Elephas maximus indicus: one gene and its partner. The protein of the gene in region 2 interacts with the protein of the main gene of each other region in a pairwise test. Links are inferred from orthologs where the notes say so. Each region holds a gene or a part of one and is shown on either strand. Other genes may lie near its edges.

Evidence for each region.
Region 1: the proteins of A2M (region 2) and C7H11orf58 interact in a two-hybrid assay, tested with the Homo sapiens proteins (2 studies listed by BioGRID and IntAct). The link is inferred for Elephas maximus indicus from reciprocal best matches to the Homo sapiens genes A2M and C11orf58.

Annotation. Positions count from the first base shown.
Region 1 is NC_064825.1:72,135,819-72,143,499, reverse strand, and holds the start of C7H11orf58 (small acidic protein), read right to left. Parts: upstream 3,020-7,681; 5' UTR 2,863-3,019; coding exon 2,800-2,862; intron 1-2,799.
Region 2 is NC_064822.1:66,266,893-66,274,335, forward strand, and holds the start of A2M (alpha-2-macroglobulin), read right to left. Parts: upstream 3,015-7,443; 5' UTR 2,819-3,014; coding exon 2,742-2,818; intron 188-2,741; coding exon 4-187; intron 1-3. UniProt on the Homo sapiens protein: Is able to inhibit all four classes of proteinases by a unique 'trapping' mechanism. This protein has a peptide stretch, called the 'bait region' which contains specific cleavage sites for different proteinases.

The sequences.
Region 1 (7,681 bases), on a different chromosome or scaffold from region 2:
TATGAACTACAGTTTAAAAATGTATACAATTAAAAACAAAAGACTAAAATCCAAAACTTTCCCCAAACTCTATTTCTATTAAAAGAACAAACATCCTCAATGTCTTTACATAAACAACCCTACCATCTACAATTTCACGTCTTAATGTTTCCTTCAATTATTCAGTGCTTCTTGTTCTTTCTTTCAAGGACCGTAAAGTACTATAGCAACTATCCTGCCCAAATGCTGCATTCTGAAAAGCACATGGGTACCTGGTAAATTCTTAAAGAGCTCTCTACCAGTTGCTAAAATTAATCTCCAACTCCTTTAAAAAAAAAAAACAAACTTCAATTTCTCCACTTTAATCAAACCAGTGGAACGATTTTTAAGGGCTGTGGTGGTTCAGAGTTAGAATTCTTGCCTCCCATGAAGGATACCCAAGTTTACTTGCTGGCCAATGCACCTCATTATGCACAGCCACCACCCATCTGTTAGTGGAGGCCTGGGTGTTATCAGCCATGCAGGAGTCACCATGAGCTGGGTGCCGACTCACAGCAACTAACAACATCCTTAAAACCCTTGACTTGAAATATACCCTAGTAGCTCTTACTTACAATCTACTTACACACTGTCAGCATTTTCCTAGAGTTCTATTCTGTGATTTAATGTATCGTTTTAACAGCTTTTAAAATATTTTGTTACCCCCAATTAACACATAAGATGAGCAAAGAAAACTTCGATTATCTTTTACATGCAGTGGATGCTCACTAGAAACTGATGACCAACTACTCATTATAATTAGTTGATTTTCTTCAATTTAGATTTATACTTCATAAATACATTCAAAGTATTTTTACGTATTACTTTTAAGATTTTTTTTGAAGTTGTATTTAAAGATAACCCCCAATTACCAGTAAAAGTAATAAAAATTCATGACAAGAAACTGACCAAAAAATCACTATAGAGGGACAAGTTACTGTATTGCACTATAACATTAGCAACGTAATCATTTTTAGATAATGTTTGAAGGTCTTAGACCCTAATCTTGAATTGAAACTGTAACTATCTCCTTCAAAGAGAATATGATTTTAGGATTGGACAAAGTCTTAAAAGTCATCTATTTAAACTGATCCCATCAGAGGCTGCAGAGACTTAATGCCTTAATCTCTTTTAACTTTCTGTTAAATTACATCATAGCACTTGGAGTTTTCTGTTAGTTTAAAGGATTATTTATCTGAGTCTAGCAAAACAGGTGTCTGATATGCTAGCAATCCAGTTACAGTTAACAATAACCAGGAGGAAACAGTGTAACAGCTTTTACCAGCCAGCTTACTCAAAAAACCCAGATAAACTAACAAGTACTAAATTACGTAAAAAGGTCTAAAAGGTAGTAAGCCAGTAGCAGGGAGAAACAGCTCACTGGATAACAATTCATCCCCAAATCTTTACTGATTACTGATCTTCCTGAGGAGCTAAATCAATTTCCTTAAAGACCCTTGGGGAAACCCTTGTGGTGTAGTGGTGCGACGGCTGCTAACCAGAAGGATGGCAGTTCGAATCCACCAGGTGCTCCCTGGAAACTCTATGGGGTGGTTCTACTCTGTCGTATAGGGTCACTATGAGTCCGTATCAACTTGACGGCAGTGGGTTTGGTTTTGGGTTTAAACATCCTTACTGTTCAGATCCTCACCCTACCTTCCACCCAAAGAGGGGTAGGTGGGTCTTAACAGCATCTCACTTAAAAAACTGATAGCACGACTACTATCCAGTAAGCCTTTTTGCGGTTCATGTAAAATACTATGGGAGGTACTGCACTTACGTTATAGAAAATAAAGACTTCTACACATTCAGATACTGATATGCTTTCGACAATAACAGAAAGAAAACTAAATGTCACCTCTTTATCATCCTTAATCATGGCCTCTCCAGTGAAGCCTTCCTTAGCTCCACTTCCTCTCTTCCCCCTCAATAATTTACCCATCAACGTTCCTACAGCATTTTTTGTGTAAAGGACCTAGTTTTACGTTTTTAGTTACTTGTAGTCTCCATGACACTGCGCTAGGACCTAGGTCAAATATACAAAAAGCACTACACTTACTAACTTTAAATCTTCAACACCTGGCACGGCAATAAATATTTAACAGGCTACTTTAAGGAATGAATGGTTCGCTATTTAAACTGACAAGCTGGGGAGCGGTGGTGAGGGAAGGGAGAATGAGGTAGGAATTTGACATTAAAACGGGCTTCTAGTTCCCACCAACTTAGACCTTATCGCCATACACCAGTACGAAGTTAATTCTCTGGTACAATTTCTGGTTCTCGGTTTACTCTTAACAGTACAGTTAGTAACTGTCAATAACATACTGCAAAAATAATCCCGGCTGGAAGATATGTTCCAATCTGCACGAACATCTTGACACTGTCAAAGGAGCATTTTAAATCTAAAACGGGGAGGCTCTTGCCGTTTCTATCTACACTAGAAAGGCCTGAGAACAAGGCTTTATCGGCTCTCAAATACGCAAATACAAGATCCTTTGACTAAGCTCTTTCACTTCTCGACCCTCTCGCGATTTCTTCGATCCCCTCCCCCGCCCCGTCCCCCTTCTTACGCAGGTCTCTGATTCTTGCGTGTGGACCTCTCCAAACCTTACGACTCTAACTAAAGAAGGGAGTCATTTCTCAAGTCTATCTTTTGGTTCCATCCCCTCAGCCCTCCCCCTTCGGGCCACCTCAGGCGCTTCCTCCTTCATCCACCCCCTCCAGGCCTACCCCAGCCTCTAGTAGGCCTCAACCCTCATCCACTCCGCCATTATTATTTACATCGTCGTCTGGGGAGGCGGAACGCTTCACCCCATGCGGGTGGGACTCCCTGGCAGCACTCATCGTTGTGGAGATCCAGACGGGAAATACCGAACCCACTCGCCGTTCTCCTCAGCCGTAGCGACAGCACCCTGCAATCTACCACCGGCCCAAGCAGCAACTCTCCCGAACGCAGAGCTCCACCGGGCCTTCTCGGCCATAGACGTCACTGCCGCGGCCCCTCGCCACCCCGGAGCACTCTGGGAGTTATAGTTTTGTAGCTCACTCCACACCTGCCTGACAAAGGAGATGGATGAGTAACTAAAACTACAACTTCCAGGAAGCCTAGCGGCATAGGTCGCGCACTGCGGCGGGCGTGCCCACCGAACCTCCGCCTTCTTTGGCTGGCGACGAGAGCTTTCCCGCGGAATGGTATGGCGGTGGACGTTGGTTGAAAGCTTCGTCGGCGCAGAAAGAGATTTATATTGGGTTTATCACATTTCACCGTGAGACGCTGCGCCCTTGGCCAATGCATCCATCGTAATTAAGCACCTACGTTTAAATGTAATGTTATTTGAGGCTTATCGGATTCTTTAGAGTGCCATTCCCGCAGGACAAAAAACCTTAAAAAAAAAAAAAAATGGCTGCCACCGTTCCCTAGTCTTTGATGTCTGTTCCTAGCAGGGGATTTCTAAGTGGCCGGCGGCGCCTCTTTCTGGAAGGTTCTGACGAATATCCCACCCATTTCTCACTCTTAACCTAAGCCAAAGTCCACTTGAGGGAATTCTGTATCCTTTCTGAGGTGGTTCGACCTTGCTGCTGATGTGTAGGCATAGTATCTGGGCTTTCACCAAGTGAAGTTCATCTCTGCCAGAAACCCCTGTATCTCTTTTCATTTTTTTGTTCAGGTGAAATAAAATTAACCATTTTAAAAGCTACAATTTAGAGGCCTATAGTACTTTCCCAGTGTTGTGAAACATTATCTAGTTTCAAGACAATTTCATCACCCCAAAAGGAAACTCTGTACTTAACCATTAAGCAGCACGATTCCATTACCCACTTCCGCCAGACCGTGGTGACCACTTGTCTACTCAGAAAGCCCTATATCTTGCTGCAGTGTCAGGGCGTCTGAACCTGGCTGCCTTCAGCTATAGAAAATATTCAAAGCCCTATATCTTGCTGCAGTGTCAGGGCGTCTGAACCTGGCTGCCTTCAGCTATAGAAAATATTCTGGCAGGAGCCTTGTCCTCGGTTTTTCTGAAGCTTTCTGACTTTGATCAAAGATTGGATTTATTTATTTAAAAGCGAAAATCAGTAAATGGTATGACACCACAGATCTACTCTGATATTGGGAACTGAGAGTAGTCTGTGAAACAATGCTTAAGTACTAGCTTTTTTGAACTTGGTAATTTCTACAGTTTGACTGTCTGTCTGTGCAGAAATATTTCTTTCCTAGATTTCAGATGAGGCCGTGAACCTTTAATAGCACTGTGACCAGTGGATGACAGTTTTTTAATTTGTGTAGTCATGTATCCAGATTCTGCTCCTTTCTTTTGGAAACAGAGGATTAAGATAATAATAGCACTAGGATAATATTAAAAAAAAGATTTTGAATTGAGTTATATTTTACAAGTGTAGCCAAACAAAGGGAAACTTAATCTATTATTTCTGTGGTAAAAATTTGTAAATCAAGTCAGGAGTGAACTCATGTTGAGAGAAAACACTTTTGGAAATAGTTGCTTCCTCCTTGCTATGAATTAAAATATTTTGCCTACTTCATGATTCGACTGCGGTTCTGTAGATATCATTACAACGAAATGACACCTAAGTTACGTCCAGTGTGTCTGACAAATTGTAATATGTATAACTTAGAAGTCTTATCTATATAAGCAATAAACAAATGGGATGGCTGAAAGGTAATTTAGACTGCTAACAGAATTCTGAAATAAAAAGGACTGTCAACAGGGTTGGGTAGTTACTAAAAAGTTTGTCATAGTCATCTAGTGCTGCTGTAACAGAAATACCAGAAGTGGATGGCTTTAACAAAGAGAAATTAATTTTCTCACAGTCTAGTAGGCTACAAGTTCAAATTTAGGGTGCTGGCTCCAGAGGAAGGCTTTGTCTTTCTGTTGGCTCTGGAGGAAGGTCCTTGTCATCAGTCTTCCCTTGGTCTGGGAGCATTTCAGCGCAGGAGTCTCAAGCCTAAAGGATGTGCCCTGCTCCTGGTACTTTTTTCTTGGTGGTATGAGGTCTCCGTGTCTCTGCTTGCTTCTCTCTTTTATATCTCAAAAGAGGTTGGCTTAAGACATTATCTAATCTCATAGATCTCACCAATATAACTGCTGCTAATCCATCATATTACCTCATAGTAATAGGATTTACAACACAAATCACATCAGATGATAAAATGGTAGAAAATCATGCAATACTAAGAATCATGACCTAGCCAAGTTGACAGATATTTTAGGTGGACATGATTCAGTGCATGAGATAGTTCTAACTATACTAACTGATGAAAATCCAGAAAAGTTTAATGGGCTAGCAACATGTCTTTTATTTCTTCACCAGAATTGTTGGCACCTGGATGGCTAAACCTTCAAGCTATCATAGAACAAGATCACAAGCCAAAAAGTAACATAGGAAATAATAAAGACTGGATCACTTTATGAGATTTTGCCCAGTTTAATATACAGAAGCCTATAGGTAAGGATGAAATTATACAGTGTTATAGAATGGTAATGCATATGTGGCACAGAAACCCAATAATGCTGTTCTTCCTTGTATTATAAAAACAAAAAGATACTCTATTACAAGTGGAACTTTGAAATATTTCATCTCTACTTTTTTGTTTCTGTAGTTTCTAGCACAGTTCCTGACTCAAAATAGTCAATAAGTATTTTTGAATTAATTTACATAGTGTAACAGAGTAGCATCTCATATGAGGCCTAGAAACTAAGTGATGACTGTCGTTTTTTGGGTTGTAAAGACAAGGAATGGAGAGTCTGTCACTAATAGAACTTTTAAATACTTTCTTGAGGTTAGAGACCATGCTTTCCTAATTTTTTGTATACCCCATGTTTAGCACATAGTAAGCAGTCATAAATATTTGTTCAGTACATACATTAATATTTCAATCAAATCATGACTGAACATAAGCTATAGGATACTAATAACATAGTTAACAAACATAAAGAGGAAATAAAAAAGCCAAAGGATGTGCTCTGTACAGAAAATCTGCTGCTGTGTTACGTGAGACTAAATAAAAATTCCTAGACAATAATCAGAGCCCTGGTGGTGCAGTGGTTAAGAGCTCAGCTGCTAACCAAAATATTGGCAGTTTGAGTCTACCAGCTGCTCCTTGGAAACCCTATGGGGGAGTTCTACCCTGTCTTATAGGGTTGCTTTGAGTCGAAATCCACTCGACAGCAATGAATAGACCAAATAATCATAACTATCATTTACTGAATACCTACCATGCACCGTATACTTTGCTAGGTGCTTTTTATAATGATGTCAAAGCCTCACAACAGTTTGTAAGAGTGTTTAAAAATAAAAACAAAAAACAACCAAACCCATTGCTGTTGAGTTGATTCTGACTCATAGTGACCCTAAAGGACAGAGTACAGCTGCCGCATAGGGTTTTAGGTGAGTATATATATATATATATATAATAAAGCTCAAGAAAAGTTGAATAACTTGCTCGAAATCATATAGCTTGTGAGTGACTATGCTGAGATTTAATACTTTAATACTTAAGACTCTCCAGCTCCAAAGCTGTACATTCTCCATTGTGTCAATATAGCAACATTTATATAGGGAAACCCTGGTGGAGTAGTGGTTAAGTATTACAGCTGGCAACTAAAAGGTCAGGAGTTCAAATCCACCAGGTGCTCTTTGGAAACTATGGGGTAGTTCTACTCTGTCCTATAGGGTCGCTGTGAGTCAGAATTGGGTTTTTTTTTTTTTTTTTTTTTAAAGCATGTGTCAGGCAGCGTGCTAAATTTGAGATCAGAATGAATAATATATAGTCCTTCACCTCAAGGAATTTACAGCTTGGTGGGGAAGGAATGATTAAGTGGCATGAGTAAATTACAAATAAAATGCTATGGGAGCAGAGCGGGGGAAAGGGGCATGTATTCAGGGAATGGTTAATGTCCAGGGTGACTGAAACCTGTTATGCATGAAGTATTGTAGCATGAGACCAAATTGTAGGTTGATCAAAGCCAGGCTGTGAAAAGCCTTGAGTTTGAATCTCTCACTACACATGTTCAAGTTCAGTTAATCTCTATCAGTCCTCTAATGTTTCCACAGTTAAATCCACTTTACATATCATCTTTTGAAAAAGGAATGTAGAAACTTTCCTGTTCAAAAACTTCCTAGAACTTCCCATTTTATGCAGAATTAAGTCAATATAATTGAAGGTCTACATTCTGACCTTAATCATCAATTCCAGTCTTATTTTCTACTGCTACACTTTACTTATCTTGATTACTCTGCCATCACTAGTTACAACAAAATATGATAGATGCTAAAATAGAGGTATGAACAAAGGTACAAGTCTTGCTAGCTAATTTAGACTGTAAACTTATTTTGGGTAGGATCTAAGCTTTGCACTATGACTTGTATATGAACCATCTTTCGATAAATTTTTGTATTAATACACGAATGGATGAGATCAGAGAGGAGCAGATTTATGTGGTAAGATAATAAGTTTTAAAGTAAATGTTGAATTTAAAGTACTGGTGGGACACTAAGTGGAGCTGTATAGTAAGTAGTTAGAAATACAGCCTTCAAAGTTAGGAGAGAGCCATAAATTTGAAAATAATCCATCTAGAGATAGTGGTCAAGCTAGGACTGTAGTTGAGCTCACCCATCAAGCATGTAGAAGAGAGGTACTTGGGGG
Region 2 (7,443 bases):
CACAGTGAAGGAGACACACTGGAATAAGTCGTTTTCTGCCGTGAGGTCAGTGAAGAGGCTCCTGTTTCCCCTGATAGACTCCAAGGAAGCACTCACAGTCACGGTCTCATTCAGGTGGCTCAGGAGGAGGCAGCCCTTCTGAGGGGTCTCAGTGTGGAGCAGGGAAGGGACCAGGACCATATACTGCCTGGGAAGGTGGCGGGGGGTGGGGGGAGGGGACAAGTTCAGTTAGAAGAGAGACATTCTTGTCAACAGCACTATTCTTCCATAAGGACCTGTGGTGGTACAGCGGTTAAGAGCTAGGCTGCTAACCAAAAGGTCAGCAGTTCGAACCCACCAGCTGCTCCTTGGAAAACCTCTGGGGCAGTTCTACCCTGTCCTAATAGACTCCACGGTGACAGGTTTGTTTTGTTTTTTTGGTTTTTCGTAACAATTACTGTTACCATCATTAGTTTTACATCAAGATGAAAATGAAATTAATCTCTTCTGTTAAGTGGCATGCATGAGAATGCTTTCCCCTTTCCATCAGCACTGCCATGCAGTGAACATTCCACTTGAGGTGGGCTTTAAAAATATTAAAAAATATTAAATGCCTCACTTTAAGGAACCCCAATATGTAAGCATCTGACTTCAAATTTTAAATGTCAGTTATGTTTAATCTGACTCTAAAAAGAAAGCTCACAGGTGTGTGGCTACTACAAAACCAATCAATCTACAGAACTTTCATTATCTATCTACCTATCTGTACAGAGAGATTTTGACATATATTGAGGTATATATATTTATATATACAGGAGGTAAAAGATATATATCTGACAACCTTGTGAAAATGATATGGCAAGTATTTCCTTTCATTTTACAGATAAGGAATCTGAGGTTCAAAGAGAGTGAGTCATTACTTCAGAGTTTAAAGTCTCAGTTGTGGTAAACAACTAACCAAGTCTTAGCGTATTACCTAACCATGAATGTTTGCATTTAAATATTTGCCTGTCAGCTCCTGGCTAGACAATAGCTTCCCCCAAAGAATGGTCCTCTAGTGACTGAAGTTTGGATCTTAGTAACTCACGAACAAGGCAGAAGCTTTCCCAATACCCTCATGGATAACATAAGATTGACCCTGTAGTTTTCAAATATTCTTGCTCTCAGAACTCCTAAAATAATTTTTTTGGCATTGTGCACTCCTTTCATATTTTCAAGGAAAGTTCCGTTTGGTAATCTCAAGTTTAAATAATAGCAAAAGATATTATTTCTTGCGACATTTAAATTAAAGCTTCTATTACTATTTTATAAGATCCTCATAAAATCTTAAATACCATAGTGATAGGATGCCCGATACAATCTATTTTAAAATATTTTAAGTTCTTTTTTTAATCTCAGGAACTTCTTCCCTTTTTTCCTCCTCGAACTTGAATTTCTACACCACTTACTGCACAGAACTTTATCCTAAGATTTTATGCTTCAAAATATTTTATGAGTCACTCTTACTTCTTTTTTAGCAAGTATATATGCATAACATACACACATACATATATACAATATTATATGTGGGTATATACATTCAACTTTAAGTCTTCTTCTAAATTTAATGTGACGATATCATTTTAGAAAACCCTGGTGGCATAGCGGTTAAGTGCTACAGCTGCTAACCAACAGGTCGGCAGTTCGAATCCTCCAGGCACTCCTTGGAAACTCTATCAGGCAGTCCTACTCTGCCCTATAGGGTCGCTATGAGTCAGAACCAACTCGACGGCAGTGGGTTTGGTTTTGGTATATCATTTTAAGCGTTAAAAATTTTCTTCAGAATTATTTTTAACTCAGTATACAATTGATCAAAACAAAATAAATATATTACAAATTCTGATTCATACTTATTAGATATAATAAAGATGTTCTTTTGAAGTACATCTTTAATGATAATAATAAGCTGGGTTTTTTTCCCAGTCAATTTATGTATCCAGAAATGAATATTTCTTATTGCAAGAATGCAACGAGATCTAACATTAATTCTGTTCTTAATTCTGACTTGTGTAGATGTAAGTACGGAGAAAAATTGCTCACGGAAATAAGTAAATAAATGAGAGGTAACACAGTTATATTGTCATCCACATCTTGCAACTTCCTCGGCCTTATATGCCGAGAATCACCCAGTGCCCCGTAAAGTTATTTTTAATCATCTATGAGATGATTTCTTTAAATACGTTGAAACAAAGAATTTGTCACCACCTGACCTGAAAAAGGATTTTCTCCCTTGTTATTAGAACCCCTTCACTTTCCCAACATCAACACCGGTATTTCTAATTGTTCTTTATTTGGCACGCTAGAGGTTTTTCTACCCCAGGGCAATGCTCCATAGTTTAAGATCTGATGGAGGGAGAGGCTTGTCTTTCATAAAGTGGAAGATGGCCAATTCGGAAAAGGGAAGTAAGAAAGGGTAAACAGCATAGCCTTAAGCAGATCAAAATGAATTTTATATATGCGAGGATCTGGAAATGGATTCCTTTAAAAGTATCAATTTCCGATGCATCTTAAAAAGGAATTTAGAGGAAATGTAGAGATTCAGAGGTCCAGAGAGTCGGAGGGAAAGTTATGAATAAGAGAAGAATTAATACATTGTTACAAAACCTCATGGTTGGAAGAGACATCAGAGAAAAGAAAGTGGCAGTTTCATAGAAAAGACGAATGATACAAAAGGCAAACATGAAATAAAGGAAAAGACAAAATTCAAACTGCGTGGAACTCACGGGTTTCCAGAGACTGTGGGCAGGGAGACCAGGAGGAGGAGAATAAGACTTGGATGAAGAAGCTTCTTCTTCGCCATGCTGCAGGGAGAAGGGACCTGAGGAGACCAGATTGTTTCGTACCCTACTCCCTGCACTCAGTCTGGTCCCCAAAGCACATCGGAGCAACTGGACTTTATGAGGCACTCTCTGTGTAAACAGGAAGTTCCACCCACACAAGGTCTCTAAACAAAGTTGAGGTTTCCAAACATTTTCTGAAAGGGTCACTGCTCTCAGTGATGGCCTAATTACAGTCAAGGTTAATTCCTGGCAGGCTAAATAGAATTCCTGGAGGGATAAAATCCACATTCCTGTTAGCACTCACTGTCTCTGAGTTTTACTGCAAAGCAGCTAATCAGGGCCTTTCCAAACCTTCCTTCCCCACCTCCTCCCAGTGCCTTTTATGGCTCTATTCACATCTCTTGCTTGCATAGTTGACAATGGAGGCTGCAGCTTGAGCAACAATGGCCAGCTCAAAGTGACATCTCACTACAAGTCACTGTGCCTGCAAGTTCTCCATTAGCTATGCCTAACTTAAATGTTGAGGGTGCTTCAGAATTCAGGAATCCTCTGCAGAAATGATAATGCTTCTGGGTTGAAGTAACACCTTATTCAACTAATAGACTTTTACTGTAGAGCTATTACTGGATTGCGGATGAGGAGCCATGCCCTAGATGAATGGGAATAGAAACTAGTTTGTATATGAAGTAACTAAAAAAAAAAAAAAAAAAAAAAAAGTGAAACGATAAAAGTAGCAAGATCTCAAAAAATGAGTTTTGTCCTGTTGGGCCTAACAAAGATTCCAATTGCCTTTGCCATCGACTATACAAACACATTTCCTTACTACCTTCTGAATCTTCTACTCCTCTCCAATCTTTGAATTATACAGACTATTTCATTTATTCATTCATCCATTCACTCATTCATCTATTCAGTTGTTTTATAAGCATTTATTGAGCCTGGTAGGACTAGGCAATATGCAAAATTCTGGAGATAGGATGGTCAATTAACAGATCTGCACTAAAATTTCTTACATCCTTGTGGGGGTGAAAACAGACAACTAAGCAATAAAAATACAGTAGCCAAACATCATCTGAGAAGTTCAGGGCACTCTGGGAGCATTAAACAAAAAAAAAAAACCTATTGCTATCAAGTTGATTCCGACTCATAGTGACCCCATAGGACAGAGTAGAACTGCTCCATAGGGTTTCCAAGGAGCAACTGGTATATTTGAATTGCCGACCTTTTGGTTCGCAGCCAAGCTTTTAACCACTGCACCACCAGGGCTCCTAGGCGCACATAATCCAGATTTGGGGCCTTGGTGTACCAGAGAATAAAACGTTGCCTGGTTGTGCTTCATCTTCATGATTGCCAGCGTGTTTGAGTGCCACTGTTGTGGCTATTATGCCAATCCGCCTCTCTGAGACTCTCCCTTACCCTCGATAGCACCCTACTTCACCAAACATGATGTTCTCCTCCAGCGATTGATCCTTCCTGGTGATGGATCCAAAAAGAGTGGGTTGGACAACGTTCTGTTGAGATCCATAGAGTTTTCACTGGTTAATTTTTGGAAGTAGCTCACCAGACCTTTCTTCCTAGTCTGTCTTACCCTGGGAGCTTTGCTGAAACCTGTCCACCATGGGTGACTCTGCTGGTTTTTGAAAAACTGGTGACATAGCTTCTAGCTTCACAGTCACCACATGTACATCACCACAGTAGGACAAACTGACAGACAGGTGGTGGATTCTAAGTGTAGAAAATGACGTAGGCAGAGACCTAGAACTTGAGAACAATCATGGCACATTCAGCGAACTGAGAAGAAGCTGGTATGGAGGAAATGCCTGTCTACTTAGAAAAGTGGTGGAGCTGGAGAGACAAGCTGGCTGCAAATCAGAAATGGCCTAGTCAATAATATGAGGGTGTTTGGGGAGTAGTCAGTGAAATGGATTCTCGGATTGGTTTCCTGGATAGATCACTCTTACTGAAATGTGGAAGACTGACCGAAGGAGGCATTTGAGAGTCAACTGCAATAATATAGGTGAGGGCTGATAGTATTTTGAATTAGGGTATTGGAACTAAGGGTTGGAAAGAAGTTGACACATATACATAATATTTAGGAGCAAAATTATAGTATGTGGTGAATATATGAATATAAAAAGTAAAGGAGAAGGTGCCTTCCAATTTTCCTGGCTGGTCACTGAGTGAATCATGTTCCTTTAACTGATAGAGTGAAACAGAGGGTTGGTGGGAACAGAAGGAGGACAGAAAGGCTGAGGATTGGGAAGATAAAGAGTATAGTTTTAGAAAGTGCTTGTGGAATATTCTACAGCTTAGTACAATGCGGTCTAATAAAAATGTAATGTGAACCACCTATGTAATTTAAATTTTTCTAGAAGCTACATTAAAAAAATAGCAAAAAACAGAAGAAATTAATTTTAATAATGTATTTTGATTAACCCAATATGTTCAAAACATTATGAACATTATCAATATAAAATCATTAAAAAGATGTTTTACATTCTTTTTTTTATACCAAGTCTTCAAAATTTAGTATGTTTTTTATACTAACAACACATATCAATTTAGACTAGCCACATTTCAAGTGTTCAGTAGTCCCGTGTGGCTGCCGTTGCTGGCTGCTGTTACTGTTAGCTGTTCTTGAGGCCACTCCCGACTCCGTCCTATAGGGTCGCTATGAGTTGGAATCGACTCGAGGGCACTGGTTTTTTTGTGTTGAGGCCACCCCCGACTCATGGCAACCTCATGTGTTACAAAGTAGTACTGCTTCTCAGGGTTTTCTTAGCTATAATCTTTATGGAAGCAGTTTGCCAGGCCTTTCTTCAATGGAGCCACCCAGTGGGTTCAAATCACCAATCTTGAGGTTAGCAGCAGATCACAAACTGAGTGGCTACCCATTTGGCATAGTAAACTTAGAGCAATGTTTTCCAATTATGGGTCACAGTCTATTAGTAAGTTATGATTTTATTTTAGTGAGTCATGACCAGGATTTAAAAAATGAAATAGAAAATAATAAAATAGAAAACAGTGTATCAAGCCAAATTAGTGAAAATGTTGAATTTGGAAACATTGTTTCCTATATATATATGACAGAGACTGTTGGCCATCCCCCACTATCCATCCTACCTTTAATAAAATAAGTCCTGAGTTTTTGCTGAACACAAACTGCTTAGCTAAAGATTTTATTTCCTTGCCTCCTCCCTTGGTCCCTTGAAGCTGGATGTGTGGCCATATGACTTCTGATGATTGGATGTAAATGGAAGTTATGTATGTAACTTTTAGGTCATGGTTTAAAAAGGCAGAGTTATGTTCTGTGCATTCCTTTTCTTCCTTATCCCCGGCTGAAATATGGAGATAATGACTGTAGTTGGAGCTTCTATCGTAGATTATAAGATGGAAACTGTGTGCCAAGGAAAGCAGAGCAACAAGCAAGACACAGCCTGAGTTTCTGAATCTTCAAAAGTCCACTTCAGACTGGATTTTCACATGAGAGAGAAATGCTTAATATGGGTAGGTACAGGTGTGTACATGAGCGAGAATGGATAGAAGTATCTATAAACCAAAGCATCAAATCCACTGCTGCTGAGTCGTTTCAAAAATTATGATCTGCATCCTAGTGAAGTCAGTAACATCTGGGGTCTTAAAAGCTTGTGAGTGCCCATCTAAGACACGACTGTGGGTCTCTACTCACCAGGAGCAAAACAATAAGAAGGAAACCAAAAGCTCAGAGAAGAAACAAGTCTACACGAGCCACAATCTAATCTACCCTGAGACCAGAAGAACTAGATGGTGCCCGGCTACCACCATTGACAGTTCTGACTGGGGTCACAATAATTGGTCCTGGATAGAATTGGAGAAAAATATGGAGCAGAACTCAAATTCTTATTAACAACAACCAAAAAAAAAAAAAAAAGTCAGACAAACTGGAACAGTAGAGAATAGAGGAACCCCCGAGACTATTGGCCTGGGACATTCTTTAAACCTAGAACTGAGCCTTTCGCTTGAGATCATCTTTTAGCAAAACAGCAGAGTGGCACATGAAATAAAGGATATTACTTGTTAGATCAGTGCCCTACTTAAAAGCCACCAGTATGAGACCAAAAGGTCAGCAATTATACAAAAGCAAAGATGAGACAATAAGGGGGCAGGGAAACTGAAATACTGGAAAGGGAACAAACAGAAGATCATTAAAGAGAATGTTGACACTTTGTGATAAATGTAACTAACATCACTGAACAATATGTGTGGAAATTGTCAAAAAGGAACCTAACTTGCTGTGTAAACTTTCACCAAAACTCAAGAAAATATTATTAAAAAAAAAAGATTAATTACTTAAAGTAGAAGAGACAAGGTTAATAGCACTTATCTGGTGCCTCACCATACGTTACAAAGATGATCTGCAAGGACTGTTATGGCCAAATCCCTGGCTATCCATGTCAAATGTCACTGTGTAATCACATAATCGATTGGCTGATAATTTTTCTGCTGGATTTAGAGTCAAGGAGAGCTTTGGGAGCCAGCTGTTTCGGTGTCTGTGTAGTGCAGAAGCCTGACTGCAGCTGGTTAAGGAATGAAGACAACAGGAGGAAGCAAAGCCAGTTTCCCAGAGTCTGTCTGAAGTGAAGGAGAATGATATGGCAGTACTTGG